3 linked regions of the Arabidopsis thaliana genome follow. The protein of the gene in region 1 interacts with the protein of each later gene in a pairwise test. Each region holds a gene or a part of one and is shown in the gene's direction. Other genes may lie near its edges. The genes, in order: AT2G38090, AT1G10820 and AT1G68160.

What was found.
Region 2: the proteins of AT2G38090 (region 1) and AT1G10820 interact in a two-hybrid assay, tested with the Arabidopsis thaliana proteins (one study listed by BioGRID).
Region 3: the proteins of AT2G38090 (region 1) and AT1G68160 interact in a two-hybrid assay, tested with the Arabidopsis thaliana proteins (one study listed by BioGRID).

Annotation. Positions count from the first base shown.
Region 1 is NC_003071.7:15,940,970-15,950,949, forward strand, and holds AT2G38090 (Duplicated homeodomain-like superfamily protein), read left to right. Parts: upstream 1-3,613; 5' UTR 3,614-4,308; coding exon 4,309-4,754; intron 4,755-5,355; coding exon 5,356-5,806; 3' UTR 5,807-6,127; downstream 6,128-9,980. Other genes in the region: AT2G38100 (proton-dependent oligopeptide transport (POT) family protein), read right to left, coding at 7,515-8,364, 8,448-8,941, 9,038-9,252, 9,401-9,425.
Region 2 is NC_003070.9:3,598,117-3,609,922, reverse strand, and holds AT1G10820 (hypothetical protein (DUF3755)), read left to right. Parts: upstream 1-4,864; 5' UTR 4,865-5,134; intron 5,135-5,239; 5' UTR 5,240-5,272; coding exon 5,273-5,487; intron 5,488-5,901; coding exon 5,902-6,001; intron 6,002-6,867; coding exon 6,868-6,924; intron 6,925-7,463; coding exon 7,464-7,569; intron 7,570-7,672; coding exon 7,673-7,755; intron 7,756-7,945; coding exon 7,946-8,007; intron 8,008-8,113; coding exon 8,114-8,210; intron 8,211-8,429; coding exon 8,430-8,486; 3' UTR 8,487-9,013; downstream 9,014-11,806. Other genes in the region: TIF3H1 (translation initiation factor 3 subunit H1), read left to right, coding at 1-112, 212-315, 402-468, 742-875, 961-1,009, 1,146-1,217, 1,308-1,409, 1,495-1,562 and 2 more; Z-ISO (15-cis-zeta-carotene isomerase), read left to right, coding at 2,474-2,884, 2,962-3,108, 3,213-3,422, 3,852-4,187; AT1G10810 (NAD(P)-linked oxidoreductase superfamily protein), read right to left, coding at 9,166-9,501, 9,597-9,699, 9,789-9,961, 10,046-10,246, 10,333-10,554; AT1G10800 (voltage-gated hydrogen channel-like protein), read left to right, coding at 11,055-11,765.
Region 3 is NC_003070.9:25,542,273-25,553,123, reverse strand, and holds AT1G68160 (ZZ-type zinc finger protein, putative (DUF3755)), read left to right. Parts: upstream 1-4,229; 5' UTR 4,230-4,498; coding exon 4,499-4,779; intron 4,780-4,881; coding exon 4,882-4,981; intron 4,982-5,372; coding exon 5,373-5,429; intron 5,430-5,570; coding exon 5,571-5,688; intron 5,689-6,231; coding exon 6,232-6,314; intron 6,315-6,393; coding exon 6,394-6,455; intron 6,456-6,530; coding exon 6,531-6,600; intron 6,601-6,905; coding exon 6,906-6,956; 3' UTR 6,957-7,366; downstream 7,367-10,851. Other genes in the region: UMAMIT23 (nodulin MtN21 /EamA-like transporter family protein), read right to left, coding at 25-141, 901-963, 1,036-1,229; WRKY9 (WRKY DNA-binding protein 9), read right to left, coding at 7,509-7,820, 8,096-8,209, 8,294-8,578, 8,663-8,797, 8,876-9,154.

The DNA of each region.
Region 1 (9,980 bases):
CTTATTGGCCACATATATAGTATATTGATTTGGAAATAGAGAATTCTTTTGGCGACCAAAGAAACAAATAGTATGAATTTTCTTGCCTAAAATCTTTTTTTTTTCTTTGGTTTCATAAGATCTACAGTAGTAAGGAGCAATAGACTAAACTTTAATTAACCAACAACAATAAATAATGAAGTAAAATATCATTATGTAAATATTACATAGGTGGTGGTGGCAAGAAGATGATTTTAGGCTTTGTAGCTAAACCATTAGCAAAAGTATTGTGTAACACCAAAATATAGAAAAGAAACCTAAAAAGGTCTGAGATCTGTATTTAAGATAAATAAAGAAATATAGTCATTATGTATATTTACTTACATGTATCTATTAATAACAAAATAAATTATTGAGGAGAAAAAAGTATCCTCATTCGGAAATAGAAGATGCTTTCCCTTTGGGGAAACTCCACGATATTAATAATATTCATAACAAAACCAGTCATTGTCTTGCACCACTCCAATTAAAAAAACGTCTAATAACTTTACTTAATATTTTATTGACCCTATTAGTATTTAGTAGAAAAATAATCGTGTGTTGGGTGTGAGTGGTGGACAAACAACTCTGACATTTTATTTAAACAACTCTGATATTTAAAGAATTATAGTTGCACAGAGCATCATATTATATTATTGTTTTTTTATATAAATTTACATGTAAAAACATCTGGCGCCTTTTTTTAATTAAAATTCGATATACTGTGAAGGCTCTTTGCTACTTAACGTCGTCCATTGAATTAGGATCGCACGGAATGGTAATTTGAAGATTTTTATCATGTCAAAAATTGATAATATGTGGATTGAAGTTTAGATGATAATTTAAGTGGTGATGCATTAAACTACTAGACTATGTATCAATTCAAGTTCAAACTTTAATGAAGCTGGATCCAATTCACCATACTCAAAAAGACTGATTTATTTTTATTTTTTTTAGATTGAAATTATGGCACGTTCTAAAATAACTATAGACGAATTTGGTAGAAATATATATTTTCATCTTGAAATTTTATGCATAAAATATTTTGAGACGAAATATTTCTATAATTAGAAAAGTCTAAAATTTCTAATGGTTTTACTATAGAAAATATTCCAAAAATTTATATATACAATCTAAATTTAAATTTGTTCATCCATTGTGAACTTTTGATAAATTTTACTAAAATTTTAGCATTGGTAACATACTTTATTGAAGTTTTTATTTTGCATCTGATAATCTTCGAAATACATAAAAACAATGTCTTATAATTATTCAACTATTTTCTGCCACCCATTTTGTTGAGGGCACTGTGTAAACCACATTTATTTTGAATTTGACATTCGTTTTTATTATATTTCTTAGTTTTGTAACCAAAATATATATTTTATTATAAAAGGGTAAATCTTGAACTGATCCAAATCAGACTAATATTTCAGTCTGTAGTATACCATGTTTCTAGCTACACAATATATATATACAGCTACAAACATGGAAACAGAGGAAAAAACTCATCTCGTCTCATATTAGATCAACATGGTGAATTCTCAACTGCGATATATTAATAACAATAAAAATTCTTAACACTTTCAAGAATTATTGTGTCTGTTATGGCGTGATCACTTAAGCTACCTAACCCATTTATAAATAAATCATGACAGTTTATTTGTTTTAAGAAATCCATTAGTGTAATTTACAAAGAAAAGTAAGCGTGGTCCCAAGATACGAGTCTATGAGGAACATCTGAAGGATTAATTAGCATTTCAGTATGTATTTAATTTACGTTTTGTGTGATTGCCGTTCATAATGTGTTTCGAATATACATTAATCTTATAGTAGTAAACTATACATAAATTAAATTAGTCGAGTTACAAAAAGAAAACAAAAAACTGATTTAACTCTAAAGATTTCCTATAAAGAAATTATTCTTGAAATTTCGGAAAATCATCTTATATATATGCTACGTAAATTCTTATGGTCATAACTCATAATAAACCTTAGTACCAGTTTTTGGAATTTAGATATTGTTAGAATGTGCAGACACAACAAAAAAAAAATGTTGTTAGAATATCATCATGATTATATTTCATACGTTAATTAATAATTAAGGTTCGACCTCTCTCTCGCTAAACTCCATTATTACGACCTTGTTATCTTAGACACACAATTATGATCACTAAACATTTACTATACTATTTAATTACTTCCTTGATGTTGAATTTTTTGCTGTGGCCGTTGAACCAAGAAGCTAAGCAAGGAATCATCATTGCATATTAAAATTATATTTGTTTGACAGTTCTTTAATGTCGGTTTAGCAAATAGTACGCCTAAAAATATTTATTGCCATTTCTTGTGCAATTTATTCTGTCACATGTCAATGCAAAAAATTAACGCCTTTTAGATCAATATTGATTTAGATGAGTACAACTATTTTTGTAAAATTTTGTTAGGGTTTGTAGTTTATACGTATTTTGGCATTGTACTAAATTTTGTAGTTCATTTTATTTATTTATTTTGTAATTCATATTTTCGTAGATAAGTATAGTTTGTGATAGGATATGCCCCTTTATGTTTCCTAGCATGCTAGTTTAACCACATTCTCCAATGCTTTTTGTTATCGAGATTATGATCCAAATTTATATAGTATTAAACGTTTCATTGTCACAAAATCATTTCCCCTTAGGAAAAAAAGAGAAAGTATCTCGATATACAAACAAACAACTCATGTGCCCAAAAGGTTAAATGTCAACACCAATAGCAAATTACCGAAGTACCCTTATAACCGCCTTAAATCTTGTTAGCCAATGGGAGATGCTCCTCGATTGTGTGTCTTGTCTGAGTCTGCGATTGGTTAATCTCTAAACGTCTTTGGCCTATCATTAGGCAACGTTTAGCCGCAAAACCCCTCTCCTATTAGTTGAGTCATATTATTAATTTCATCGATAAAACAAAAATAAATACTAATAGAAAAAAAATCAATCAACGGTCCTCGAAAGCATAAAAATGTATTAAAAAAAAACAAAGTTCCTTGAGAACAAATGAGATCTGAACATGTGTGACTTGCCTATTCAAAGACGACACTTGTCTTTTCCTGAATTATGTGATGGTCTATCATAGACTATACAAGGACGAGTGTTTATTGGTTGATTGAATTAAAAAGGTACAACGAAAAGAAAAAGAAATACATAAAAAAGAATGTTTTTGATATTTAACTAATCTCACTTTGAAATGAAACCTTTTTAATTAGAATTGAATTATACTAATAGTACTTGTACTATGTTGATGTGGAATACTTACCTAAGAAAATTAGATCAGAAAATTGTATAATTTATACATCAACACCAACATTGTTTTCTATAGCATCGTATTTTATTTGTGTCGTTATTCACAAACGTTTTGTAACATAATTTAACACCATAGATTTTGTTAATTAAGCACTGTTGCCATTCTCATTTATACACATTTTTACCGTTTGATTTATCCTTAGTCATAAAATTGTTACATTATCTGATTTCTTTATATATATATTTTAATTTCAATAACGTTTAGTATATTTTGAAGGGAAGCCCAATTGGTAGATTTAAGTGATCAAGAAATTAAAAAAACTCGTAGATCTTAATATGAATAATAAAATAATGAAAAGCCCAGAAATTTTTGTCTGGGAAATACTGAAAGACAATCACAGCTCAACAGCTTTTTAACTCACCTCTCACTCTCAGATCATTCCTGTTTCATATTCATCTCTCTCCCCTCTCTCCCTCTATATCTCTCTCTCCCTTTTCGACTTGAGAGTTTGGGTCCTTTGGGAGAAAGAAGAAGAAGAAGAAAAAGATTGGATTTTGTTCACTTTAACATCTTCAATCTCTAAACCCACCTGAGTTTTCTCCATTTCTCTGTTTGGTTTCTTGTCAGTTTTCAAGAAAGCGTCCAAATCCTAGATCCTCTGTTTTCTCTTCTCTGTTTGCTTTCATTTTCTCTGGATTCGGATCTGACCACTAAAGAGAGGTTTATCGTTTCAGACAACAAAACTCAAAGATCGAATCTATCTTTTGTCCTTAGAGTCTGGAAAAAGCAGCTCTCTTTTGATCTCCTCTTTAGATTCTTCAAAGCTTTAGATGCTTATCTCTCTTTCTCTCTCAGATTCCATTTGAATAAATGCCATTTTGACAGATCAAATATCTCCCACTTTTCTCTCTCTCTCTCTCTCTCTCTCTCTCTCTGTTTGAGCTCCACCATTATCGAAAACTCTGTTTTTTTCTTTCTTTCTTGATTCGATCAACAATCGTTGAAAACATGAACAGAGGAATCGAAGTTATGTCACCAGCAACATATCTAGAGACATCAAACTGGTTGTTTCAAGAAAACAGAGGAACCAAATGGACAGCTGAAGAAAACAAGAAATTCGAAAACGCTTTAGCCTTTTACGACAAAGATACTCCCGACAGATGGTCCAGAGTCGCTGCCATGCTTCCCGGTAAAACAGTCGGAGATGTGATCAAACAATACAGAGAGCTTGAGGAAGACGTTAGCGACATCGAAGCTGGTCTTATACCAATCCCTGGTTACGCCTCTGATTCATTCACACTTGATTGGGGTGGCTACGACGGAGCAAGCGGTAACAATGGGTTTAACATGAACGGTTACTACTTTTCCGCCGCCGGAGGAAAGAGAGGATCCGCCGCACGAACGGCGGAGCATGAGAGGAAGAAAGGTGTTCCATGGACAGAAGAAGAACACAGGTAAACTTAAATCATCTCTCTACGTTAACGTCAATGCTTTTCTTCTCTAGATTTGGACCCCTTTACACTTTCTTTTATAAAAATACGTACGTCTTTTTTCTTGGAAACGTGTTTATGTATACGTATAAAGATACGCATATCGTATAAATATATATACGTATGTAATTTATAAAATTAAAACTATACAGTCATCCACCAAAACAATTGTATCTTTAGTGCGTGTCTATATGACCTACGTATGGGTTAGACAGAGAGGCAGACACACACACATTATTTTGTAGAGTAGATACTTTACATGTTTATGTTAATCTCAAAAAAATTATTTACCCTTTTTTTATGTATCGAGTTAATAAATCTATTAGTAAACTATATACAGAGCAGATAAAATTTGTTTCTTCTAGGCTCTTGATGTGTGGAATGGGTTTCATTGGTGTCTTGGTGCGGTTATTTGTTTTGCACGCATGGACATTGTACTGGGACATGGAACATTAGTATAAACATGAGTTTTTATTTTGGCTATAAAATCTAGTTTAGTTGTTTGTATATGTGTTAAGAGTCGATTTGGTTTATTTAGGTTTTGGTATGGTTAATGAATGTGCAGACAATTTCTGATGGGTTTGAAGAAATATGGAAAAGGAGATTGGAGAAACATAGCTCGTAACTTTGTGACCACAAGAACGCCAACGCAAGTCGCAAGTCACGCTCAAAAGTATTTCATACGGCAAGTCAATGGTGGCAAAGACAAACGCCGTTCAAGCATCCATGATATCACAACCGTCAACATCCCCGACTCTCCTGACGCTGCAGCCGCGGATAACGCAACCGCAAACGCACCTTGCTCGCCACCTTCCGTAGGAGGAAACCAGCGGGAGACATCGGAGTGGGAAGGTCAAACACTATACGATGAAACAGCAGCTGCGTTTTATAATCAAAACGCGTTTTCAGAAACGCTACTTGGAATGTCTTCGACGCCCTACATGGCAAAACTTCAGGAGCAGAGTTTTCTGAACGCATCGCAATTCGAATCGTACAATGCGTATCTCCAAATGTAGCTCACAAGGTGAAGATCTCGGAGAAGTTACGAGTTATATAATCATTAATAATTTTTGTTTTTTCTCTTAATCGGCGTGCATATACAAAAAACAAAATTAGCTGCTATTTTTTTATTACGAGATACTTATTTGTTGTTTTGTTTACCATCTTTTTCCGTGGTTGATTCAACGAGTTTTCAGCAAATTAATTAGGTTTTGTTATTTTAATTACTTGAGTGATTTATTTTTGTGATTTGGAACTCTTTTGAGCTCAAATTGCTTATTAATCTATGCTGTGTCTGTCATATAGGCTTTCATTACAGTATTTTTCCTTGTTGGTGGATATTTATAATTAATAAATTATGATTTTAAATCTTTGTTAGATATTTTGCCACTTTCCATTTTCTCTTTTTATCTCATTGTGTGCCAAATTTTAGTTTTAATAATGGTTGAACTCTCTCAAGTTTCAGTGTCAAAATTGAGGCTAACAATATGTAGGATGTCTAAATGTAAAATGTTAATTACAAAAAATAAAAGTAAAAATCAGTTTTAAATTGGTTGTTCTGGTATAGAATGAATTATCTATTTATGAATAAGCAGCCAAAAGTATGTAAAGTGCCAAGTGGGTTTTCCACTAATCAAAGATTATTTAACTTGTTGTGGTGACAAATGTGTAATCGAAACCTGGCTTTGTGGTGATAATGACGCTTTCTCACTTAGCATACATCTAAACCCTTTTTCTTATGTAATTAGAATTTAGTTTTCAATTACTTTTATTTTCCCAACTGTTTTATTTAATAGGACTGTCTGAAGTTCGAAGTTGACAAGAGAATGAGAATCTACAGAGAGTCTAAAGAAAGACCATAAATAAAAAGCCACAATGATTGATATGCTTTTGTTCCTCAACCAAGTTGGCAATTTTAAATCCTCATCTTGGGAAATTAACATTTTTTTTTTTTTTTTTTTTTTGTTCATCTTTTGTATTGTATCTTCTTTCCAACCATACACAGTACAATTAGATTCAGAAGAAAATAACTTTTTATTCCAACCTTTGGATAGATACTAAAATAATAATGTGATTTTCATAAGAGCAACATTTTAACACTCATCAAAGGGGTTCGAACATAGGCAAAGATAATGATGGTATTTAGAGGTATCAGGCTTTAAAATGACTTTCTGATTATTTAACTAGAATAATAGTTTGCAGTTACTTTTTTTAAGATTTAGGAAACTTTCAAAATTTTAGTGAATTTGTTCTTTAACTTGATGTTCGGTGGGTTCCATTTTGATGCCTTGTGACTGTGAGTAATACGAGAAGTATCTCCATGTAATTGCAAATTTGAATTTGAAGGAAGACCGTTGATTCCCAATTATTCTTGTAAATCTATTTTGGACTAAATTCTTTATTTTCCATAAAATTCGATTTGTTTTTCTAAATCTTGTCCTCCAATTTAAGTCATAACTTACTTTATTTGTTTCTAAAAGTCATTGAAGGTTTTAATGGTTCAGTTTTAAAGTGAGCTGATGTCCCAGTCCCATTTAGTCTTTGGTTTATTAATGTGTGTGCAAACATGGTTTAGTTGCCTGAAGATGATTTGAGGATTTGGTCAAAAACATTGAGAGAATTCCTTTTTAATTTCTCTTCTATGTTTTTCCGAAGCCACAAACGCAATAACCTCATCTAACCTCATACATGTATAATTGAAACATTGGGCACACAACACAAGTACTACACAGAAGCGATTATCCTTCGATCATTTTCTTGTGTTGCACCATCTTTCTTGTTACACACTGTGTACCTATAGGTTACAATGAAATATAACAAGAGATTGAACATGCAAAACACTGTTATAACCCAATAATAGTTATCCACCCGGCTCTTGTTTATTGTGTCTTGAAACCATTTGCCTCCGCTTACACTGCCCACCAAACTAACAAGAGCAATGTTGCTCATGATCCCGACCCCGCACACTCCCACGTTTAATAGAACCATGTATTGGCTCAACTCTTCAGGCACCGTTTCTTCTAGGTAAAGCGCAAAGCTGTTTTCGTAGATTCCTGTGATTGAACCGAGTAGAATGTACTGTGGGAGCAGCCAGAATACACTCATGGGGACAGTTTCATGTAGTAAACCTTGAGTACTAACTACTTTGAGCCTCCTAGACTCAACATGTGCAGCGATGGAGCAGCAAAATATCGATAGGATGATGGAGACTGGTATACCATAAGGCGTTTTGGTTTGTTTAGGTGATTCAGGGAAGTCAATGGCATGGCGTTTTGCAGCCATGACACATAGTTCTCGGGATCCTAGCCTTGCAGCTTCACTAAAGAGTAAGAGGAGTGGGAGAGGAAGGTTCCATGATCCGAACTTGGAGTCCATATGGTTTGCTTGTTCAAGGAAGAAAGTATTACCAAGAGAGAAGACAATCCCCGAAATGAGAGATGTCGCAAACAAAGGAACCGTGCGTATGACGCTTTTCGTTTGCTCCACTTCTGTCACCCGACAAAGCTTCCATCTGTTTTTCCTCTGTTGTTCCAAAGACTCTGTTTGGAGTATCATTGCAGCTCTATCTAGATACCTGTGTTTGAAAAAATCAAGAGTTACGAGTGTTATACAGTAGTGTGGGTTAACAACTCTTAATGAAGTGAATTTTTATTGAACCTTAAGCTGCTTGTGTGGGGCTTAATATCTTGATCACACTCAGCTTTTTCATAGAGCTGGCTTGAGTTGTTCGAGTATGCACAAGACATTTTGGAAGCAGAAGCCATAAAGACCCGGAAAACCGTTGTCAAAGGGCTCCCACCTGGTTTAACCCGTTTGTATGAACACGCACCGGAAATAAAAATCAGCATTGCTAATACCTCACAGCCCGAGGGGATCGTGAACCTAACAAACCACGGACTTATCTGAGGCATTGCAATAGCAGCAAGTAACAAGAACACAAAATTCCCCACATTTCCAATGACAAAGCTAACGAGCTTGGCGGGGTTTCCCTTGTTCCTACCGTCTTCTAGTTGGTCTTCTGTAAATACTCCCAAAGAGATAGACCGTCCAAATATACCAACGGATATAACCGTTAGCGCTACGTAGAACAGGCCCTTTTGTCCATTGCCTGAAAGTATTGGTGACGCTGATATTGCCAAGAACCCGAAACCCTGAACAGAAGAGAGCGTAAATTTCAATTCTAGACAAAGAATATAAGTTAGAACCATACTACATAACCAAAGTTAAAGAGGAGGTCAAGGTCTTACGAAACTGAATGCTAAAGTAGAGAGACAGAGCATCCAAAAGTGACCAATAAATGCATCAACAAGAAATTGCATGCCAAGATGACCAATAGCTGATACACCAGCAAACACATTTACAATCGCAGCTGCGTCTGTGAACTTTAGCTTCATCTCGTTCGTCAAGTATAGCATCAACATCCAGAGGGTAAACCACGCAACGGTAAAAGCCCATGACAGAACTGACATATAAGAAAAGAAAAAACATGATGATCAAGAAACCAATAAAACAAAACCCTAGTGATTACAAGTATTGACCAATGTGGCATCGTGGTGAAAATGTTGAACTATCAAACAAGATCAAAAAGCAGAAACCACATCTCAACTCACCGATGACTCGGAGAAAAGACGCCATATATTACTTCTCATGTGGAAACAAAATCAATGACTAACAATGCTATCAACAAACAGAACACCTTCAGCTCTACAGATAAATCTAATGAAAGCAAGATTTGAAGGTACTGATCAAAATTGACCCGGACATTCAACAGAAGGCTAATGGAGGCATAGACGTGCTTATAGATTCTATAATAAAATATAAGAGACCGGCTAAGATAATTCTTTATCATACTCTGTTATATTGGTCATAACCAACAAGGCTGGTTTTATTGATAATGTTATTCAATATACAGAAAACTGAAGATAAACTAACTATTTTGTAGGAGACCTGAACTTTTGCCAGTTCATAACAACCTATAGTTAACACATACTTGACGGCCAAACCAAACAAAATCCATTAAAGTAAGAAAACAAGACAAAACTTACAAAATTTTATTGTGGGAACAAAAAAAAGGTCTTACGAAATATATCTCAGTCTCACCAATTAAAACCGACGAATCTGAACATAGTTTGATCACCCAAACTCAAACGTACACATCACGCATGATTGCTCGTCAAAAGTGAACAAAAA
Region 2 (11,806 bases), on another chromosome or scaffold:
ACTAAAGATAATCAAACACTGCAAGGAGTTTTCACCGACCCTTGTCACTGGACAGCTTCTTGGACTTGATGTTGGTAGCGTCCTCGAAGTTACCAATTGTTTTCCTTTCCCGGTATGTTGATGAATTTTACACGCATTGTGAGGATTTAAGAGCTTGTTCATGATTGATGTACATGTGATTTACTGGAATTTGTATCTTAAACGAGGACAGGTCAGGGATGATGATGAAGAAATTGAAGCTGATGGTGCTAATTATCAGCTTGAGATGATGAGATGTCTGAGGGAGGTTAATGTTGACAACAACACTGTTGGCTGGTAGGTTTTTTAATGACATCAGTCTGAGTTCACTTGTTAAATTTTTTCTTGTGAATGTATTTAGATCTGCCTAATTCTTTGTTCAGGTATCAATCTACAGTTCTTGGTTCGTATCAGACTGTGGAACTGATTGAGACCTTCATGAATTACCAGGTACTTTTTTTTTTGTTAAAGAATCCTGTCTACCATGTCATTATAACATTCTAGATTTGGTCTGTTCATATGTTATGCTCTTCATTCAGCTGGAAATTTATATGTATAGCATGGCTACTCTAGTGTATGATAGGTATATTGGCATGTGTAAAAGTTGAATGTAAATTGGATCATGAATATATTTTCTGAGACTTTTTTTGTCCGCAACTCTGTTACAATCCCTTGCAGAATCATGATATGAACTCTTAAGAAATGATTCTTCTGCATCTACAGGAGAATATCAAGAGGTGTGTGTGCATCATATATGATCCCTCTAAAGCTGATCTAGGCGTCTTAGCTTTGAAGGCTTTGAAGCTTTCAGATTCCTTTATGGAGTTGTACCGAGGTGGAAACTTTACTGGCGAGAAGTATGTATCTTGATCCATTGAAAATCTAGGTTTTATGAGCCACTTAGGATGATAGTTGTAACGTTTTAATCACTATCTTTTTCAGGTTGAGAGAGAAAAATTTCTCCTGGATGGATATTTTTGAGGAAATACCTGTAAGTCTCTAGCTTTCTTCTATATTGAATTCTTACCAGCTAATCTTTTCAAGTCACTAGGTTGGAATTGTTACCTAATTATATTTTCCTCTGACAAAAAAAGTGGTTTAAATGTTTGTTACTTTTCCTTTGACAGATCAAGGTTTCAAATTCTGCCCTTGTCAGTGCCTTTATGACCGAACTGGAGACTGATACACCTGTCTCACAGGTACAATACTACTATCTGGATAGTGATCCTTGCTTGCTGTCAGCATTGCAGATTTTGACTCTTGATACTTCTGTATTTTCGCCTTTCTAGGGCGATTATGATCGTCTACACTCATCAACCACTCCTTTCCTTGAGAACAATATGGAGTTTTTGATTAAATGCATGGATGATTTATCTATGGAACAGCAAAAGGTGTGGTTTCTTCTGCACTCTTGTTCAATTCTCATCATCAGAAGTCCGAACTATCTTAACGCAAAATCTTAATTTATTTCTCCAGTTCCAGTATTACTACCGGAACCTGTCTCGTCAGCAAGCACAACAGCAAGCCTGGCTCCAGAAGAGAAGGTAGGTTTATATTTTCTGCAGAACCTTTTTGTTCTAGTTCAGGTTTGATTAGTTTCACTACCTCGTTATCTTGGAAGGTGATACAACTTTACTTACGAGAGTTGTGAATGCCTTGTAACATTTGTCTTCAGCTTTTCCTTGTCCTTTTGATCTTCCAACTAATGAAAGAGGTGTTTGGTTTATAGAACGGAGAACATGGCTCGTAAATCAGCTGGAGAGGAGCCTTTACCAGAAGAGGATCCTTCAAACCCAATCTTTAAGGCGATCCCTGAACCATCTAGGCTAGAGAGTTTCCTCATCACAAACCAAGTCTCAAACTTCTGTGGCCAAATCAATGGGTATGTTCCTCTTTAGTATTGTTTCACCATTTTTGGAGCTTTGAAAGATACTTAAAATGAGTCGACCTGTTGTTATGCAGAGTGGCTGGCCAGAACTTCAGCAGGCTTTACCTGACCAAAGCATTGCACGACAACTGATTGCAAAGACTACCCAAGTTTTTGTTTTTTGAGTCAGAAAGTGAAAGACTTGGTGGTAGAATGGATCCTATATTTGTTTTTCGTGGATGTTTTTGTTTTTATTTTTGTTGTTGTGAAGTAATTTAATTTACAAGCTTTTCAAAAAAAATCTTTATTCTTATGCATAATGAAAAATTATTGAAGTTTTGAAAGATTTATCTTGTATTGGACCTCTGATTGCCTTACAACAAATTATACATAGTTATCAAAATCCTAATCAAAAGAGTAAAAAATCTAATTTATAGAGATTTTATTATAGTTGTAGTGTTAGTTCCATCGCTAAATCCCTTGAACGACAACGTTTATTATTTCTTCTTCGGACGATTGTTTGAAGAAATTTAAAAACGACATCTTTTTATTACTTCCTCTTCGAAAGATTGTTTACCAACAAGAACAATGGCGGTTTATCATCTCCTTCTCTCGAGCCCACCTTCGCTTCTTCTTCTCCCTCCTTCTCCTCGCCGCCCTAACCTCACCTTAATCCGCCGTATCCCAGCTCATCCTCGCCTCGGAAACTCGACCAGCTTGCTTTCTTCTTCGTCACCGGTAATTCGGAAAATTCTGGTTCGTAGCACTCTCCGGGAAGACCAACCCATCGCCTCTGACTCCGAGAGTAGTCCTACTCTACTGATCGGTGAAGATTCTGCTGCTTTTGAATTAGGGAAACAGAAGCTTGTTTCCTGGGTTTATTTCGGTGTTGTCCTTGGAGTTGTTCTCTTTATCCTCAATGTTGTTTGGATCGATAATTCCACCGGTTTCGGAAAATCATTCATCGACGCCGTCTCTAACATCTCCGGCTCACCGGAGGTATAGATCAATTTAACAGTAACTGAACCAGTTTCAATTTCAGTTATTTGATTGTTAAAAACCACTTGTTTTTGCAGGTTGCTATGTTAATGCTTATCCTTATATTTGCAATTGTACATAGTGGTTTAGCTAGTCTAAGGGATATAGGAGAGAAACTTATAGGTGAACGAGCATTTCGTGTTTTGTTTGCTGGAATCTCTCTTCCTTTAGCTATGAGCACCATTGTGAGTACTCTCTCTTCTAACTCTGCAATTTTTCTCCTGATCAATGGTATAAATACCTGTTTGATGTCTCTTATGGTCTATGCAATGCCTTGTTCTTCTTTCAGGTTTACTTTATAAACCATAGATATGATGGGTCACAGTTATGGCAGCTTCAGGGTGTTCCTGGAGTCCATGAAGCTATTTGGGTCGCTAATTTTGTATCCTTCTTCTTTCTCTATCCTTCAACCTTCAATCTTCTGGAGGTAGCAGCTGTTGACAAACCGAAGATGCATCTCTGGGAGACCGGCATCATGAGAATCACTCGACATCCTCAGGTTTTGAACATTTCCCTAATGTGCCTAAACATGAAGACAATTTCCTTCATTTTTGTGTTTCAAAAATACAGAAAGATTGGATTTTTATGAGCCAAGGTTTATTAGTGGCTGTGTTAATGAGACCCCCAATCATTGAATCAATTATGGGCAGGTATTGGCCATTGACTTAAATACACCCATTACATCAGCACAATCAAATCTCCTCATCCTTCTATGTTTATTACATCAATGCTTGATTACTTTACTTGATATTGCTTTTGATCTTAAAATTCTTATCCAATTGCTTCATCATGTGTTTGGAAAAACTTGATAATATATAGAAAGATAGGCATTTTAGCTTCAGTTTTGGTTTGTTCTATTCTCTCTTCATTATACTGGCTTTGTTAATGAGACTTGATTGTTGCACCTCTCTCCTCTGATCTTCTCCAGATGGTTGGACAAATCGTTTGGTGTTTAGCACATACTCTCTGGATCGGAAACACAGTAGCTGCATCAGCTTCTCTCGGTTTGATTGCACACCATTTGTTTGGGGCGTGGAATGGAGACAGGAGATTGGCAAAAAGATATGGAGAGGATTTTGAAAGCATCAAGAAGAGAACAAGTGTGATTCCATTTGCTGCCATTTTCGAAGGACGGCAAGTTTTACCTGAGGATTACTACAAAGAATTTGTCAGGTTGCCATATCTTGCAATCACTGCGTTAACGGTTGGGGCATATTTTGCTCACCCGCTAATGCAAGGTGCAAGCTTTAGGCTTCATTGGTAAATTATATGTCATGCTTTAGGCTTCATTGGTAAATTATATGTCATTTATGTTTGTTTGTTTCCTGCAGTGTTCATAAAGACTTGTTAAGGAACAAATGTATACAAAAAGCCATATTGTTTGTGATACTTGACTCTTCTTCATTTCTCGATTATTTTGGCTCAACACTCTGTAACCACTATGTGTGAGTTCGATCCAACAAGTGGGTTTAGATTAGTATTAACTAGGAATGTTTAATAGTACTGCTAAATGAATATTTAGGTAAAACTATTTTGTATATAAATTCCCACTCAGATGTCATGGGTCACTCTGACGCCTACCACTATACTAATAGAAGTAAATTTTTCTTTTTTCGATGTTTAGTTACAATCGGAAAATGAATCTAAATTTTAACTAATATTAATAATATGCCAAGATCTCCATCCAAATCTAGATTGATATCTACATATTGATGCCTTGATATCTCTAAACTCTAAAGATAAACTTAAAGGCAAGTGATTAATTGTTAACTAAAATTAAAAATTAACAATACAATTTTAATTCGCTAGTTATAAAAATTTTATTACCAAGAAGAATATGGAAAAAAAGGAATTGGAGGCAAAAAAAAAAAAAAAAAAAAAAAAAGAGGCCAAAAGAAAAGAAAGCAAAGGAGTATGAATACAACAAAGAGGTTCTGCAAGAAACAAACAACACAGCCAATTACTACTAAACAAACACACTCTCTCTTTCATTCTTTCTCTCTCTCTCTCTCTCGATTTTCTCCCATTGGAGTTCGCAATTAGCTGCCACTCTCTGATCGATCTTCTTCTCACATCACATCCTTTATAATCTTCAGTTCTACTGCTCGGAGGTGTTTGCTTGCGTTCTCTCTTGTCGGTCACATCCCTAATTACCATCACTGCCCCTGATTAAAGTTTTACTCTATCTTCTTTGTTGATGCCAAATCTGAGGTGGGTTTCTCATCTTTTTATTCTTTCAGCTGTGTTTTGTTTCATTTATTTGTTTCTGGATTTGCTAAAACCCTAAATTTGATATCTTTGGGGGCATCATCGTAGCTCAAATCAGCTTCAATTATCAAATCTCCACGAATGATTCCAATGGATAATCACTGCTTGCCAAGTACTAGCACCACCGGTCTTGTATTCCCGACCAATTACGGTGTTAATGCGATTAACGCTTCCTCCGGTTTTCACCCAGCTGTGGATGCTTCGGGTTCAGTGGCTGCAGGAGTCAAACAAGAAGCTGCTTTGGTTATGGATTGGTCCGTTGAGGAACAGTATGTTTTGGAGAACGGCCTTGCAAAGTAGGTATCTTCGTTTCTGCTTAATTCTTTGGATATTTCCATTTCTTATTTTTTTAATATCCTAAATGTGTCTTTGTTCATTCGTAGCTTTTCAAACTATGCTTATATTTTTACAATAACAATACATAAAAGTTGAAATCGGGAATTGTTTTATCAGAAAAGTAGTAGTGGGAACATTATATTCTCAATGGTGGACTATTAAAGTATGTTCCTTTGTTCCTTCTGATTATAAAAGTATCGCCTTTGTGTGTTCCATGACATTGTTTTCTGGGACTGGGACCATTAGTAAGTTCGGGTTAAGTTATCGATTTTCTAGCTGAGGTTGTTCCTGGTTACTTTGGTTTTCTAGAGTCTGTAGCTTGTTTGTTCTATTTGTTTGCATTTATGACATCTTTATTTTTTTTCCGTTTGTAGATTAAAAGATGAACCCAAAATTTCAAAGTATGTAAAGATCGCTGCAACTCTACCGGATAAAACTGTAAGGGATGTAGCATTGAGGTGTAGATGGATGACGGTAAGTTGGTTAAGCTTCCTTGAGCTATGTGCATACTTCCTGTTGTTTATGTGCTTTTGCTTAGATGACAAGAAAAATTACCACTCTAGACGTCTCTCAAGGATATTTCTTTTGCTAGGGAATTACTTAGTTGTCTCTAGCATTCCTTTTCAAGTGGTATGTGGCTGTTATGGAAGGATTTTTGTTGAAGGATATTTCTGTCACTGTTAAAAGCATATGCTAAATATGAGGGAATCAGCATGATGATGCAATCTTGCGTGTGTGCTTTGTGATAAAGATAAAGTCCTACAAAAAAAGCTAGCGGTTTTATTGATGAAAAGTCATTGACATGTCGTAAAGATTGTCTAAACACTGGTAAAGGACGAGCAAAAAGAGAAAATGACAAGTATTGCTGACGCTAGATTAGTCTTTATATTAGCTTTCGAGTCCATGATTGTGGAGGAATTATTGGAAAAGGAAATAAGCCTAACGCTTTTTGTTAATTATTTCTGTAGTTATCCTCACATAGATTTTACTTTTACGGGTGATGGCTGAGACTGATCCCTATACTTTTATGGTTTTTTTTTTAAAATGATTATATTGCTCGCAGCATGAGTTTACATACATCATAATGTTAATTGTTTGCATAATAATGAAATGAATTAATGAAGTACAAATGTACAATGCTTTATTATCATCATATTTCCATCTCCTTCATGTCTCTGTCCTTTCATAATTGACTTGAGTTTTCAATCAGATATATGATGTAATCAAACATAAAGCTGCAAAATTACTCCGTTTTCTTTTAATTTAGTGCTTGTTTGCCACCAGATATCTATCATGGTCTTTAAAGTTCTCTTGGCTAAGTCGGGTATCTATTTTCACAGAGAAAACGGAGGAAACGAGAGGATAATAATGCCGCTAAGAACATTAGCACTAGGAAGGTATGCTTGCCCACCTCAACCTTTCTTGTGTCGTATTTACCAGTTAATAAGTCGATGGAGGTAGGTGCCTCATTTACGTTTTGGGTTAAACGGGATTTTCCCACAGATGTGACTTTTATTCATGCAAGTCTGAGCTAACGATGGTATTTTTCAACGAAGAAACTGTAATTGGCTAAATTGCTTGTATGGTGGACTTTTCATGAGAACATATTTTGTTAGTTCCTGACTAAGAAAAAGGACTGTCTGCATGACTGGACAATCAATAAAGTTTGTGATCGATTTTTCAATGACTGACGAGCAGCAAATGATGTTGATCCAACTCTGCAGAAGTATTAGCATATATTACTTATGAGTATCTGAGCTTGTGGGCATGTTTATAATGATAATTATAAGGTAATCTAGTGATTGTTATGACATTTGATAAAGGGTTAGTGTGTGTGTTTCATTTCATGCACATTCTCCTTCCTGGGTCTTATGAACTTCTGTAGATCAATATGCTTTTAAACTTGGTTCTAAAGACCATGCTTCTTCATGGTAAGGTGGTGGATACATCCCCAGAACTGAACATGCTATCCAATGTGCCACAACAAAATGCTTTATATGTCCTGAACAATATGTGCCACAGTACACGCACGCCTTTCGAAGGTCTAGTGCTCTTTTAATTCTTTGCTCTTCTTCTGGGTTGTGTGGTCTTAAAAATAAACAAAATCAAATTGTCAGCTAGGTACTTTTGTTGAACTATTCGCAGGTTTAAGTGACGCAGTAATGGATCTTCTACAGCAAAATGCTCAAGCTTTTAGTCAGATTTCTTACAACCTCTCTGCGTGCAAGGTAATTTATACTTGCAATCCTTTGTGGCTAGTTGTGCGAGAAGATTGACAGACTGAAACTGTCATACAAGTTTGATCAAACATTGTATACCAGATTTCCTACATGCTCAGTTATTCTTTAGAAAATAATTTGATACTGTTTCCTTTTGCAAAGTAATTCGCACATAGATATGCTAACTTAGTGCATACAGCTGCAGGATAACATCAGTCTCTTTCATCAGGCAAGAAACAATATCAGCGCCATTTTGACTGAGTATGTGGATCTAATACTAATTCAATTTTCACAATTGAGACATCTCATCTGTCTTCCTTTCTATAATTTAAACCTTCAATTGCTAAATTCTTAGTTTCTTCTGCAGCATGAAGGAGATGCCTGGAATCATGAGTCGGATGCCGGCTCTACCGGTTTCAATTAATGATGATCTTGCAAGCAATCTATTGTCGAGTACAACACAGGTAATATATTTTGCTACATATGTCAAAATAGCTAATCCTGAAAAGTTCGCCATGTGACCTCAAATAATTAGAGCTTCTTGACCCAAAAAGTGAAACATATTAAGATATAAATATGAACATAGAAACCATTAATGTTTTTTAGTTTTATTGATCTCTTGAGGATTTCTCTTGGAAGCTGGCCATGCCTGATGTTTAGTGGATTGTTTCCCTGTCTCACAGCCAATATCGTACAACATTCCACCAAGCATCCACCTGAAGCAAGAGCCAAGAAGTTGATGGGGAAATCCGGATTTTGACCGATACTAAAGTAAATAGTACAAGAGCCTGGTACGTGGCAGTATTTCCGTGGACGACATGGCAATGTTTATCAACTGCAGACACCGCTTCAGAACATGAGATTCAACAATCAGTATTGGTAAAATCCTTTTGCCCTCGGGTAATTTGACAGAGAAGAATGAATTAGACTCCTTCTAAAGCCAAGGTAAAACTCTTTGATACGAACAAAATGCTTTGGCCGTAATTCGATCATAGGATTCCTTGCAATTCGTAGAAGACGGCATAGGTTGATAGAACTCAAAAGTCTTTTGCTGTAATCTTCTTGTTGAGGCTTAAATTAGTATAGTGACAGTTCTTTTGAGTGGTATTCAGAGGCCGGTTATGTGTAACACAAGTTCTAGTTAAGGTAATAATTTATCATCCTCTAGGTACGTATACGTTATCTTCATGGTTTAAGTCGTGATGTGACACAAATCATTGTATATACGCATTGTCACCTGTCTCAATTCATTGTTATAATGTTTGCAGAATCTTCAGTCCTTATTAGAGATTTACTTTTAAAAAGTTTCATTAATTTCAGACAGAAACAGACAAACAATAATGTAGCTTAAAGACGATGATGAAAAGTAGTTCAGAACATAGCTCAGCACGATGGCAGAGTAAAACTATTACAGATGGTTTATGAAGTCCAAGAAGACAGTGGTGGAGTTTCAGAATTCTTGTAAGTAACTATATAGGTGGCTGACCTTTCCCCTTTCACAGAATCGGGATGTCCCATGGCGTCAAGCTCGGCCATCTCTTCGATACTGAGTTTCACAGATAAAGCTCCTATGTTCTGATTAAGGTTTTTGATCTTAGAGGTTCCTGGGATTGGGCAGACATCATTTCCTTGGTGATGAACCCATGCCAAAGCTAATTGTGCAGGAGTACAGCTTTTCTTCTCTGCCATTGCATTGACCTTCTCATAGAGAATCTTGTTGTGGTCTAAGTTCTCTTGCTGGAATCTCGGTAAACCCTGAAATTAAGAGATGGTGAATGTGCTTAATACTCGGCTCTTTTCTTGAATGTACTTAAAAGAGATGGTGAACATTCATATAGTGATGGACTTGCCTTTCTGTAGTCACCATTGTCCATACTCTCAATGAATTTTGGTCCTGCAGCAAAGAACCCCAGTCCCAGAGGACTGTAAGCTACAATTCCAATCCCGAGCTCCCTGGAGAAAGTAATGCAAAGAATGAACATTACAAGAGGAGGATATAAAATTATATCAAGGAAGAGGGATGTTTGCGGAAGATTCTGCACCTGCAAGTAGGAATGATGTCTTCTTCAACGTCTCTCGACCATAAAGACCATTCCAACTGCACAGCGGTTAGCGGGTGAACAGCATGGGCTCTTCTTATAGTCGAGGCACAGGCTTCAGACAAACCAATGTACTTTATCTTACCCTCTTCAACTAGCTTCTTCAGTTCTCCAATCTTTGAAATGGCAGGACAAGACAACACCATAACAATCAGCTGAAGGATTCAAGAAAGAAGAAAGATTGCCAAGAAAAAGCTTACAGTGACTTCAATGGGGACAGTGGTATCGATCCTATGCTGGTAATAAAGATCTATGCAGCTAACTCCTAAACGCCTTAAGCTTGCTTCACAGGCAGCTCTCACATAGGCTGGATCTCCCCTGTAACCCAATTTCTGATCTTTCAAGAGAAGCCCAAATTTGGTTGCCAATTCCACCTTCTCCCTCATCCCATCTTTCAAAGCCTGATTACATTCACATAGCCAAGCAATTTCAAATCCTAGGCAACTCAATAGTGTATGAACAAACATAGGATATCTCGAATTCAAACCTGACCAAGGAGCAACTCGTTGGTCTCAGGACCGTAAATGTCGGAGGTGTCGAGGAGTGTGATGCCGGAGTTAATGGCATGGTGAATGAGAGCAATGAGATCTGTCTCAACCTTGGTAGTTCCATCGAAGATGGAAAGTCCCATACAACCAAGACCTTGCGCTGACACTTCAAGACCTTGGCTTCCTAGCTTGATCCTACGCACTCCACTTGCAGCTGCCATGGATTCAAATCTCTCCAAGTTTTTAAAAAAATTCTCACACTTTTGCAATCAGTAAAAGAGAGATCTAATTTGCTATCATAGTCAATGCAACAACGAAATGGAAGTCTTGAGAAAAAAGGCTCAAAATAAAGTTGTCCACGTTGAACTAATAATAATGAATTCTCTCTGCATTCATGGCGTCAAAGACGGAATAGTCTTGTAATAAACTTTACGTTATTTGCAGTATTTTTGATATATGTAACTTTTAATTGAAAATCTGTTGGTCATTTGTAGTTTGAATTTTTATCTTCAAATTGTGTTAATAGGATTGTCTTTCAGATTTGGCAAGTGTGTTTCTTCACTTAAGAAATAAATAAAGCTTGTATCATATCTCAACCTTACTTGCCTTTCAAGCCATCTTTCCAAAAATAATTAATTTCCTAAAACTGTTTAAAATGGTTGCCTTCCTTTAAAGCTCATATCATCATCTATCAACAACTTCCAAAACTTTTCATCTTTTGATGAACATCATCAACACCGGAACAGTTGATAATGTCGAATTCTCGATCCAAAACCTAATCAAGAGTTGGTGCAGACGACGGAAATGGAGGCAACTCTGCAACTTCTCCCCAAAACAACAACAAGAAGAACTCATCTCTATCAACCAACAATGGAGAATCACTTTATCAAACTTCCTAGAGTCATACCAAGTTCACCTTTTCACCATCTTCTTGCTCTCTCTTGACATCATCTTAACGTCCCTCGAATTATCTTCTTCTCTGCTATCCTGCACATCAGTCAAGAAAACCGAAACCGAAAATGAATGGTTTCGTTGGGGAGGAACCGTGATTCTGAGCATTCTCGCCGTTAAATCCATGGCTCTGGTTGTTGCTATGGGGAAGTCATTCTTCAAACAACCTGGATGTGTAATGGATGGTACTCTTGCGATTGTAGCTCTGATTCTCCAGGTTCTTCTTGAGAAGAAAGGAACCGGGTTCATCGTGGTGGTGAGCTTGTGGCGGGTTCTGCGGGTTGTGGAGACTGCATTTGAACTTAGTGATGAAGCCATTGAAGTGCAGATAGATGGAATCATCAGCCAGTTTCAAGCTCTTAGTAAAGAGAATAGAACATTGCTGGAGACTCTTGCAGAGAAAGATGAAGTAATTAAGATGCTAGAGGAAGAGCTTAATCGATTCAAAGAAAACGGTGATATTCCATTTGTGAAACCATAGGGAGGCTATATAAACTCAATATGCAAAATCTGAAATTTTCT
Region 3 (10,851 bases), on another chromosome or scaffold:
TTGTGATTCGTTGATTAGACTTGCCTAAGAAGTGCAGCGAAGATGAAAGTGACCAATGGAGTGAGAACGCCAGCAGCAGAGGTGAATGTTGCTGACGTTAGAGCTAGACCCGTAATGGTTAGGATACTTGGTATCACCACACTGTTCAATTATCACCACATTAAAGAAGTCTTATAATCCCAATATATATATATTCTTCAACAATTTTACATTTTACTAATGATAATCAATATTATCAACTAGTATTTTCAGCCAAAACGTAGTCTTCTATGTTTTTTGGTACATGTTGGTTTTTATTGTCAAACCACTAGTTGGTAATATTGAGTAGAATGGTTAAAACTACTAAGTACTACCCTGTTTGAATGTTAGATAATAATATTGAATACGTTCAAATAATCTTCTAGAGTTCTCTATGTTTTGGTACATTTTAAGTTTTTCAGACTAAGTATACGTTTTTTAACTTTAAAGTAAATTTAAGTAAAATTAAACTCTAGAAGATTAATTACGTTTTATAAAACCAGTGTGCTCTGGATTGTGGTTTTGTGGTGAGGAGATTTTGGTAAGAACTAAATTCAACTCATGCTACCTAAGCTAAAATATCCGACGACTTACCTAGCCAGTGGCTAATATGTTTGAAAACCAATAGGAAATCGAATTTGAACATATATAGGAATATATAAATTTTATAGTCTTGCATTAAACTTCTGTAACACTCAAACCATGTATATAGATTATTTTTTTCAATTTCGTATATTATAAAATGGTTTATTTTGAGAAATTTATCACAAAAAAGTTAACATATATATAACCTTAGGACACAAGAGGACATCCAAAAAAACGAAAAATGATTTTTCGTTTTGTGTGTGTGTGTGTGTGTGTGTGTGTGTGACTATTACGTACCCGAGTAACCCTGAGAGTAATGCTAGTAACATCAGCCTGCATGTAAACTCTGGCCTCTTCTTCCTAATCGATCACATGAAGTTAATTAATATCAAAGCATACAAACACAACCATATTATGTGAAAGAAAAACAACCTTTGAAAGATGAAGCATATAGGAATCATGAAAAGTGTAGCAAACAAGAGACGATAGGCCACGAGTACACTTGGGTTCATACCATCTTCCATTGCTAGCTTGAAAAATATGTTTAACCCTGCCGTAGCTATTTGAACCACCACCATTGCCGTTATATCTTTCATTTCTCTCCACATTTCACATATTCTCTCCATAATTTCTTATTCCTTTCTAGTTCCTTAATTACCTCACACTCATTTATTTATCGATTTATATATAGGGAGAGACAGAGAGAGAGAAAGAGAGAGATAGGCTAGCTAAAATGAGTTAAGGAATCCTGACTTATCCTGAGCCTCTGAGCTTTATTTATCACACCAATACTTCTCTTTTACTAGCTGTTTTCCACTAAATTTCAGTACCATAAATGAGTTATGCGATATAAGTAGATGCTAAATTCAAATTCAGGAATATTATTATAGATATGTCATATATAGAGTCTAATGAAAAGTGCTTCTAAATTTTTTAATACTCTAAAACACTAAACTTATCCAAAACACTTTAGAAATCTACTCTCTGGTCACAAACGGGTGGTGACAGATAATAGATTCTCAAACATTTCGTATAATAAGGTTTTAAACTTTTAATAGATATATAAGTTTCATGAAAAAAAAAAAAAGTTTCATGAATATTAACCAATGATGGTAGTTGCATTTATTTATTTTTGGCTAGTGCATTCACATAACATAACGAATGCATTTTAAGAATAATGTGATAAGAACATTCTAAATTTCCTGACCAAAAAAATAAATTTAAGAACTTCTTGAAATAAATTACTAGACCTCCACGGATATGAACTGTTTTGCACTCCACTTTACGTAGATAGTGTACGTGTAAGTGGGTGATTTTGTTACAAAACTAGTTTAAAGATAGAGAAAAAAAAAGTATAAATTGTCCAAAAAGTAGTTCACCGTTCACGTTTATATACAAATCGGAATGCATAAGAACAAAAAGAGAATCCAGCAACGTGTTCAGATGCTGTTGACACGTGCGATGCATGCTTTCTGCTTGTAGCCCATCAATAGTTTTTATTTTTCCAAAATACGAAGTGTTTCGAATTGTTTAGTGTCTGTCGCAAGTAGTTTCATGTAGGCATGCATGGTTTATGAAAATATGCTTCACCTTGGCCGTTGATTTTTTATCTAGCTTTAAGGAATCTCATCTTTATTTCTATTCACGAACATAGTTCTAGTAACGTACGTCAGTTGTGTGTTATAACTCAGTATACACCGTTACTTTAAAGTTATACAGATGAATTATCTCTGACAATTTTACACTTTTGAGATTTTCTTTAGTGGAACAAACTTTAATTATATATAGCTTCTAATTTTATTTTATTTTCTAATTTCTAAACATATTACGAAAAATTAATATGAGAGAGTGGTTTCAGCAAAATTAGCTAGGACTTACTTACATGATGAGGACTATATATATGAGAAAAAAACTGTGAATTAAGGTTGGGATTAAAGTCTTAAAGAAACCAAAAGCAGGGATAATGTAGAAATTTGGAGATGCTAAGGCCACAAGTTAATAGTTGAGACTTGATAGATATGATAACTTATTTGTTTTGTTTTTTGTTTTTTTTGTAGTTAATAACATTGTAAATCAGTAAAACCAAAATCTAGTTCCTGCCAACAATTTTGAAATTAAAATGTATGGATCACCTTAATGAGCGAAAGAGTGCATCAAGTCCAACAACAAAGTCTTTCTCTTCTTCATAACATAATGTTCGGAGTTAAATTAACTTGAATGAAACAAATCTTTAATTAATTATATTGATTTGCATTATTAGGAAACTGTTCAGATTAGCCTACCAAAAAAAAGGAAACTGTATTACTGTTAGTGGAGCAAGTATAATGTGCAGTTTATTGGGCTCATAGCATTTTAGAGCCCAAATTTATTCGTTTCTTAAGCAAAATCTTAAATGCGTATAAAATTAGTCTTTTACAAATATAGCATGTGGCCCAATATAAACGTCAGGCCTGATAATATGTTTAAGTGTCCATGACTTTTAACATGTTTCATTTGATAAGCATTTTTTACCAGAAGCTTATGTTAATTCACTTATACGGGTTGGGGATAATGAAAATTGAATTTGGACTAATAGAGCATACATCAATCGAGGAAAATTGCAACGACAAAGAAACGACGGTACATCAATTTTACCTTAGTAAAATCTTGATAAGATTTGAAGTGTGAGTTAATAACAAATTTTAAAAAACCTAACTTATCTAGTGAAAAAAAATGAAAATTATAAAAGCTGATGGCATTTAGATAGTAAACAGAAATCAAAATTGTTAAGTGATAGTAGTCTTGTTGCAAATGATAAGTCCACTGAGAACATGACATCGAGGATCGAGTCTCGCTCCTTATAAATGTTGACAAAAAAAAACAGAAATCAAAACATCATTTTGGTGTATGAATATATTTCTTGATCTATTTAGTGTATCAATAATTTCTTAAATATCAAAAAAAAAAAAAAAAACTCTTCATCGATTTTTATATGCTTGCTTCTGTTATTGGTTCATAACTATGAGTCCAATTATTTTCATAGTCGCATATAATTGTAAAAGTATTGTACGAACGGATCAGTTTATCCCACAATTATTGAGATGCTAAGATTAATTTTTGTATTAACATAAAGAAAAAATATGAATCAAATTCATATATCTTGAGATTTTGACAACGAGGATGTCACACATTGACATTATTAGAAAACAAAAAAAAAAAAAAAAAATCTTGTCTACTTGATAAAACTTTTTGGAATAAAAAAAGTGAGGTAGAAGAAAGAAAGGCATCAAATGCTTTATTATTGGGATTCGCACTATTTACTAAATTCCACGATCTGCCAACCATCTCTTTTATTTATTTACCTATTTTCTTATTTTTTTCTACTAATTTTGGTAGTAAAAAAAAAAAAATGAATATGTTCTTAGTCATATCTCTCCCTTCAATTTAGGAAGAGAATCTTTTCTAAAATTCCCCATTCCTACTTACTTTTATAGTCAAAATCCATTTTTTTCCATTTCAACTAATTGTGTTGGAAAATAATTAATATTAGATTTCAATTAAGTTTATCATCAATATGGTGAAAAGTCATAAAGTAATGTATTAATAATTTTTTCATTATTTGTCTAAAAATCCTTCATTGGCTTATAGCTTACAAGGCTGCTCTGTCTAATATACAGAGGACAAGAGAAAAAAAAAAAAAGAAAAAAAAAATTGTGATTTGGTAAACAAAATCAAATTTTGGTTTCTTTGTGAGAACTTAACTTAGGGTTTATAAAGTTCCAAGCTTTATCCATGGCGTAAGATGATTCACCTTCTCAAAGTTTGATCCTTTTTTCATATCTGATCAAAGGAGAGTTTTGGGTTTGATTTCTAATTGTTAAAGTTTTAATCTTTTTATTTGGGTTTGTGTTCGATTATGTGGATGGCTACTCAATCAAATTCTGGGTTCGATTCTTTGAGTTCTATGATGAGTCGTCACGCTATTAATTTCCAATCTAACACTTCTTCGGAGATGACTCCAATGAGTCCGTACTTGGGGATGAATATGAATATGATCAATGTTGGTTCTCCTGGTTTTCTTCAAACCGGGAATTCTTCGAATGGTTCCGATTCGGGTTCTGGTCTAAAGCTTGATACTTCCATGGTTAGTGAATGGTCAAATGAAGAACAATACATATTGGATGCTGGTCTTGAAAAGTGAGTCTTTCTTGTTTTGTGATTTCTTAACATTAATGAGGATATGAAGATAGTTTTTTGTTCTGTGGAATTTGATATGATCTGATTCTGTGTTTTTTGTAGATATAAGGATATGCCAAGTATTGATATGTATATTCAAATTGGAAACACTTTACCTGATAAAAGTATTCGAGATATTGCTTTGCGGTGTAGGTGGCTGAGGGTAAGTATCTCTCTTCACATATCTGCCTTGTTCTGACGGTTTTTGTAGCTTTCTTGTGACCATTTTTCAGTCATGTAGTTCTACGCTTATGCCATGAATGATATATGTATAGCAAAGAAAAATGATACACAGGGAACAGTTTCTACATGTTCTGATTTCATACATAGCTTCTTAAACTACAGTACACAGAATGAAATGGTTTTGCCTTAGGATGGACTTTTTGGTCTTATTGATGCCTGAGTTGTATCAATATTGAGTTCTTGAGATGAGAATAGTGAGCATAACAGTCTTTGAGTTTTGAACAAAATCTTCTCTTCTCTTATATACTGAATCATTTCTTACTTTTACCTTTTGTCTTCGTCTGTTGATGTACTGACTTTGTTTTGCATAGAGAAAGAGAAGAAAATCAGAAGAATTAAACTGTGGAAGAAGAGCAAGTTCTAGCAAGGTATATTGGAAATTCTTGCCATTTGTTCAATTTTGATGAGTGACTTTTTTGTAAGTTCGATTGAAAGATGATGCTAGGATTGAGATTGAATATCTTTTGATTAATTTAGGTTTTTGTACTAAAAGATTTATATTTCTTCAGGGCAAGCAGGTGGAATCGTCGTCTAAGTCAAGCATTCCCTCTGTTTTGCCTCATAACATGGCTTCATATCCTTTCTCAGGGCCATCTACAAGCACCAGTAAACAAATTACGTCTGAAGGTTAACATCTATCTTTATCTGAGAGATTTCCACCTGAATTTGCTAACTCCAGGTCTTTTTTTTCATTGACATGCACACATTAACATCATATTTTGTTTTCAAAAGGAGGCAATACGTTTTGATGTATGTATTATGGTGCAAATGTCGTTTAAGTATGTATTTTGTTATATAAATAAGTTCATAGGGGATTAGTGTATTTCAGCTAGACTTTTAGCTTCTTGGGACGATGCTAACATAACTACGTCTCTAAAGTAGTTTAGTCTTGGAAGAAGCCTTTACCCATAGATACTGAAATTGGTTTCTTAACTGCATTGTCCTTCTCTAGAGGTGCATTCTTGAGATTATTTATTTCATACATCTAGTAAAGGAGTATAATGACTATTGTATGTTTAAATGGTGAAATTCTATTTAAGTCCGCTCTCTGATCCTATTACCTTGTAAAGATGATCCTTTAAGCTCTCTTTCATATGAAGTTTTGTTGAAGTCACAATAATCTTTAGTCTCTTTTCTTTTCTTACTGATTCTTTCGTGGTTCTGTTTCAGATTTAAGTAGCTATGCAACAAATCTTATAGAACAGAATGTACGAGCTTTTAGTCAAATTAGAGCTAATCTCTCCTCATATAAGGTAAGTTCTAGATTACCTTGTTTAAAGGAATGCAAATGTGTTCTTGCTAAAACCGCTCCGTAATGATAATTGCAAACAGGCAGGGGATAACCTAGATCTCTTTCGTCAGGCAAGGAACAACCTTATCACCATCCAAAATGAGTAAGTTGATACTTTAAACATTTTGTGTATAAGTTTTGTGGAGCTTAGTGACCAGACGTTGTCTTGATTTGGCAGGATAAATAATATGCCTGGATTGATGAACAAGATGCCACCATTGCCAGTCACAATCAATGATGATCTCTCGGTGAGTAATACTACTTTAGTAAGTTAATAGGCTGCTCACTTTTGCATTAACAGTCCATTGTTTTAGATATCAAAATGTCCACATCACCCATTTGCTTGTTTTACCTCAGACACTACCGTAGTTCAAACCCCATATCTCTGGTTCAAGTGCTCAAAATATAGAATTATTGTGCTTCTAACTAGCTGAGTATCTTAAGACCAGTTTTTCAATGTTTTGGTTTGTAGAAATGTCTATCAAGAGCAAATAGAGCAGAAGAATAATAGCTTCCCAATATCAATGACTTTGGTTTCCTCGATTTGTACCAGGTGATGATGCCATTCAATACGATGCAAAGTGGCGGCTTCCATAGGAAGTAGAAGTCTTAGGAAATCATCTGGTTTCCCTTAGTTACCTGTAAATTATCCTAAAGAAGCTGGAGGAGGTAAAAAAAAGCTCATCAAATGTTGGGAAGTTTGTAGAAATGTGATTCTTTCGTAACACCAACGATCTTTATTGCTGCGCGGGATGTTGAAACAAGACATAATATAACGAATGTAGGGGTTCTTGGTCCTGGCTCCTAACTAAAAAACCTTCTTAACAAGTTCTATTAGATAAACTTAGTTCAATTAGTGTCTTGGAGAATTTCTAAGCGATCGATGTGTATAAAAAAAGATTCTATTGAAGAGCGTGTTGAGATTTGCATCTTTAATCTTTTGATCTTTTGGTGTGTTGTTTTGGTACCCATTTTTTCTTAGCATTAATCAATCTTTATTTTTCATAAGCCAACATTGAACGAAATAAAACAATCCGAAACCTTCGATGTTGTATATACGAAACATAAATGTTAGAAACGAGAACAAGAAGAAAGGCAAAGAATCCATAATGACAAATAATGGGACCAAAGAACAAGCATAGAGATATAGGAAACTCTACATCATCCAATTTAATCGGTTTTGAGAAGATGAAACGTGATCTCCTCTAGATGGACCATCAAAGTTCAAGCTTCTTATGGTTCGATTGTTGTAGCTGCTATTTTGTGGGTATGTAATCAAAGAAGAGTCTATGGCTTGAGGAGTTTGGTAATAGGAAGGATGAGAGAGGTTGTCACTGGAATCGAGTAACAAGAATGGAGAAGTAGAGGCAGTGGAAGCCATGGCTGTTGCTCCGACCGGAAGTGGATGGTTATGTGTTCCTTCGTAGGTTGTTATCAGTATTGACATGTCTTCTAAACACCTTTGCACCTTCACAATGTAACAAATCTCATTATCAACTATATATATATACATAGTTTCATTCCATTCAAATGTGGTTATGACATGCTATGAATTCTACATTGGACATAAAGTAATATATAAAGTACATAGACGAATCAACTCATTACCAATTCGTTTTGAGTTGGAAGATCTATAAAATACTACGTTATCAGTAAATTGATCAAAATGGTTCCCTAACATAAAATCTTATCTTTGAATAAATAAATAGTAAGACCCCGGAATTTGAGGGTGTGTGCAGTTACCTGTTTTCTAACGGGACATCCTGGAGCCACGGTGCATCGGTAATAAGCTCGAGGACATGGATTCCCTTTCGCGGTTTTCTGACCGTACTTCCTCCATTGGCATCCATCATTCATCTACACACACACACATCTTTCTTATTAAATGATCATGTTACCAATCTCCAAACTGAGTCCAAGATATGATATAAAGAAACTCACTGTTGCGGTCTCACATCTCGCCCTCACGGACACCCTGGCCTTTCTATTACCTTGAGAAGATGAAATGATACGTGGCATATTCATATCTAAGCTGCTACTATTGTATCTTTGGTGATGAGACTGAACAGCTTCTTTGCTCTCTTCTTGTTTCTGTTTTTTCTCTAGAGAAAGTGAAAGCCCTATTTCTCTTTCCATTGACGGAGATCTCTCAGCTCCTCTTTTCCGAGCCTTACTTGTTATATCCACACATCGTTTGCCTTGTACTCCAAGGAACATTTCAAGATCCTAGGTTAAAACATCAATCAAGTTTCATATTAATTATCACCAGTCACCACTATGTATAACGTGTATGAAGAAATAATTTCTCACCATCTTCTTGGTTTTATCGATAACCGGGAATTTCATCTCAAGATGACGATAATCTTCAAGAGTCTGCTCGACAAGCTTCCTCAACCTAGTATTCTCTTCTTTCACACTTTCCATCTGGATCTGTAGCTGCAAGAGCTGATCGCCATCCATAGATGTTAACATATATTCGCACATAAAATGTTTTGATGTATGTATATATACGCATGTAGGTACCTCTTCACGTTCGTTTTCTTCTTCTCGGGTTCTTAAACCTAAAGAAGAAGAATCATCTTCGTCTTCTTTCACCATTTGTTCATCTTCATCACCACTAGCATCATGTTCTTCGTCTTCTTTGTTCTCACGGCTATGTTTCGATCCTTCTATCTCTTTCTTTTTCTCCTCGGCCTCGAGCTTAAGAGAAAGATCGATGCCCATTAATGGAGATGCAAATCGAACCTCTATTCTTTTTTGTCTTTTAGCTTTGGATTTTGAAGTGCTAAAGTCAAATCCCATTTTCTGATCAGAATATCGTTTACTATTTGTATTATTCACTCTAGTACGCATCTAAAGCTAGCTTTGACTTTGTTTAAATAATTAGTTTTATCTTTATGAAGAAACTAATCCATGTTACTTAATAAAGAGCTTAGTTTTGGCCTTTGAAGCAATTAAACCGGAGTTACTATGGAATCATGACTTTGGTTACCATCCTAGTAGTCATAAAAAAGTGTATACATATATTCCTCCCCTTCTCTTATATAGTTTGTTTATTAAGTGACAATAAGATAATTAGATCCGGTTTCTTTGAAAATTGTATTACATTGTTTAGTTTTGTAAATCCAGTTTATGGCCGGCATTAGGGTCTGCGAAATTTCCCATCACATTCACATGGATGGTACCATGTGAAATACAGAAGACCATCGAACGTGTAGATATTTTTTTTAAACTTGTCACTGATGTGTTTATAGCTAGATGAATTCATCTCTTCGAATAAGGTAGAGTTATAAAGATTGAATACTGAATAAAGAAAAAGATGGGTGAGATCAAACGCACCATTAAACTTTTTATTTACTCAATTCAACATCATAGATAGGTCTATAAATCAAAACATTCAAAAATTCATAATGAGTAAGAATATTCTAGAATATGGCGCTGTCTATATATTTTGAATTTTCCTATTAAAGTTGTTTTGAAAATTTCAATAGATATCTTCTTAAAGTCAAATTGGTGTTATGAGATCATAAATATATATGAGAAAGAAAAAAGAAAGAATTAACTGATTCTATATTTAGATTGTATCAAATAATATAAGTTTTATTGTTAGTTTGGTTGAACAATCTCACAAAATTTCTTGATCTCAAGGATTCATCTTTAAGAGAAGGATAACTAATTTCATTTATCCCATTAGTACTAGGCTACTAGCTAACCTAAAATATTCTTTCTATGATTTCGATGTACATACAGGTTATGTTGATAGAATATGTGTGACATATGTGAAGTCCGGATTTTGGATTCTTTTAAGCGTTATGTGATTTATTTAAGCAATAAACTATGGTTTACAAACTTGACATGTACACAAAAATAAAAGAAACTTGACATGTCTCTTTTTTTCTTTTTTCTTTTAGTTAGTGTGCTTTTAAGAAGATGTCTATATGTGATATCTTATTTATTTTTATTATAATCACTAACGTGAAATTCAAATTAGCAATTAATAATTCGTACCAAAAATACCGAGAACAAGATACTTGCCTCGGGATCGGATCTAAAAATAGTCAACTAGAAGACTTTTAATTTTTATTATTTTCATACTAACTGTCCTTTTATTAACTTAATTTCTTTCTTGCCAAAAACTTTATCAACAAAATTATCAGCTCTGTACTAATATTATTACCGAGACAACCGTTTGAAATTGTCTATCTATTAAGAGTATTTACATTAGTAGATCTAATCCTATATAAAATCGTTATCTTAAATCGAATTAGCATACAATATAAGGTTACTTGCAAATCATGTAAGATTATCCACATATACTTTTCGTACAGTACTTTTTTTTTATAAGTATCCATTTTATTCAGAGTTGATTACGGATACAAAAAAAAGAGGTTAATCCGTAGAAATCAAATTGGATAATGAATGTTTCACAATTGTATAAAATCTATAGTCAAAACACACAATGTTGCAGTATCATCGAATGACTATCAATATGAGGAGTT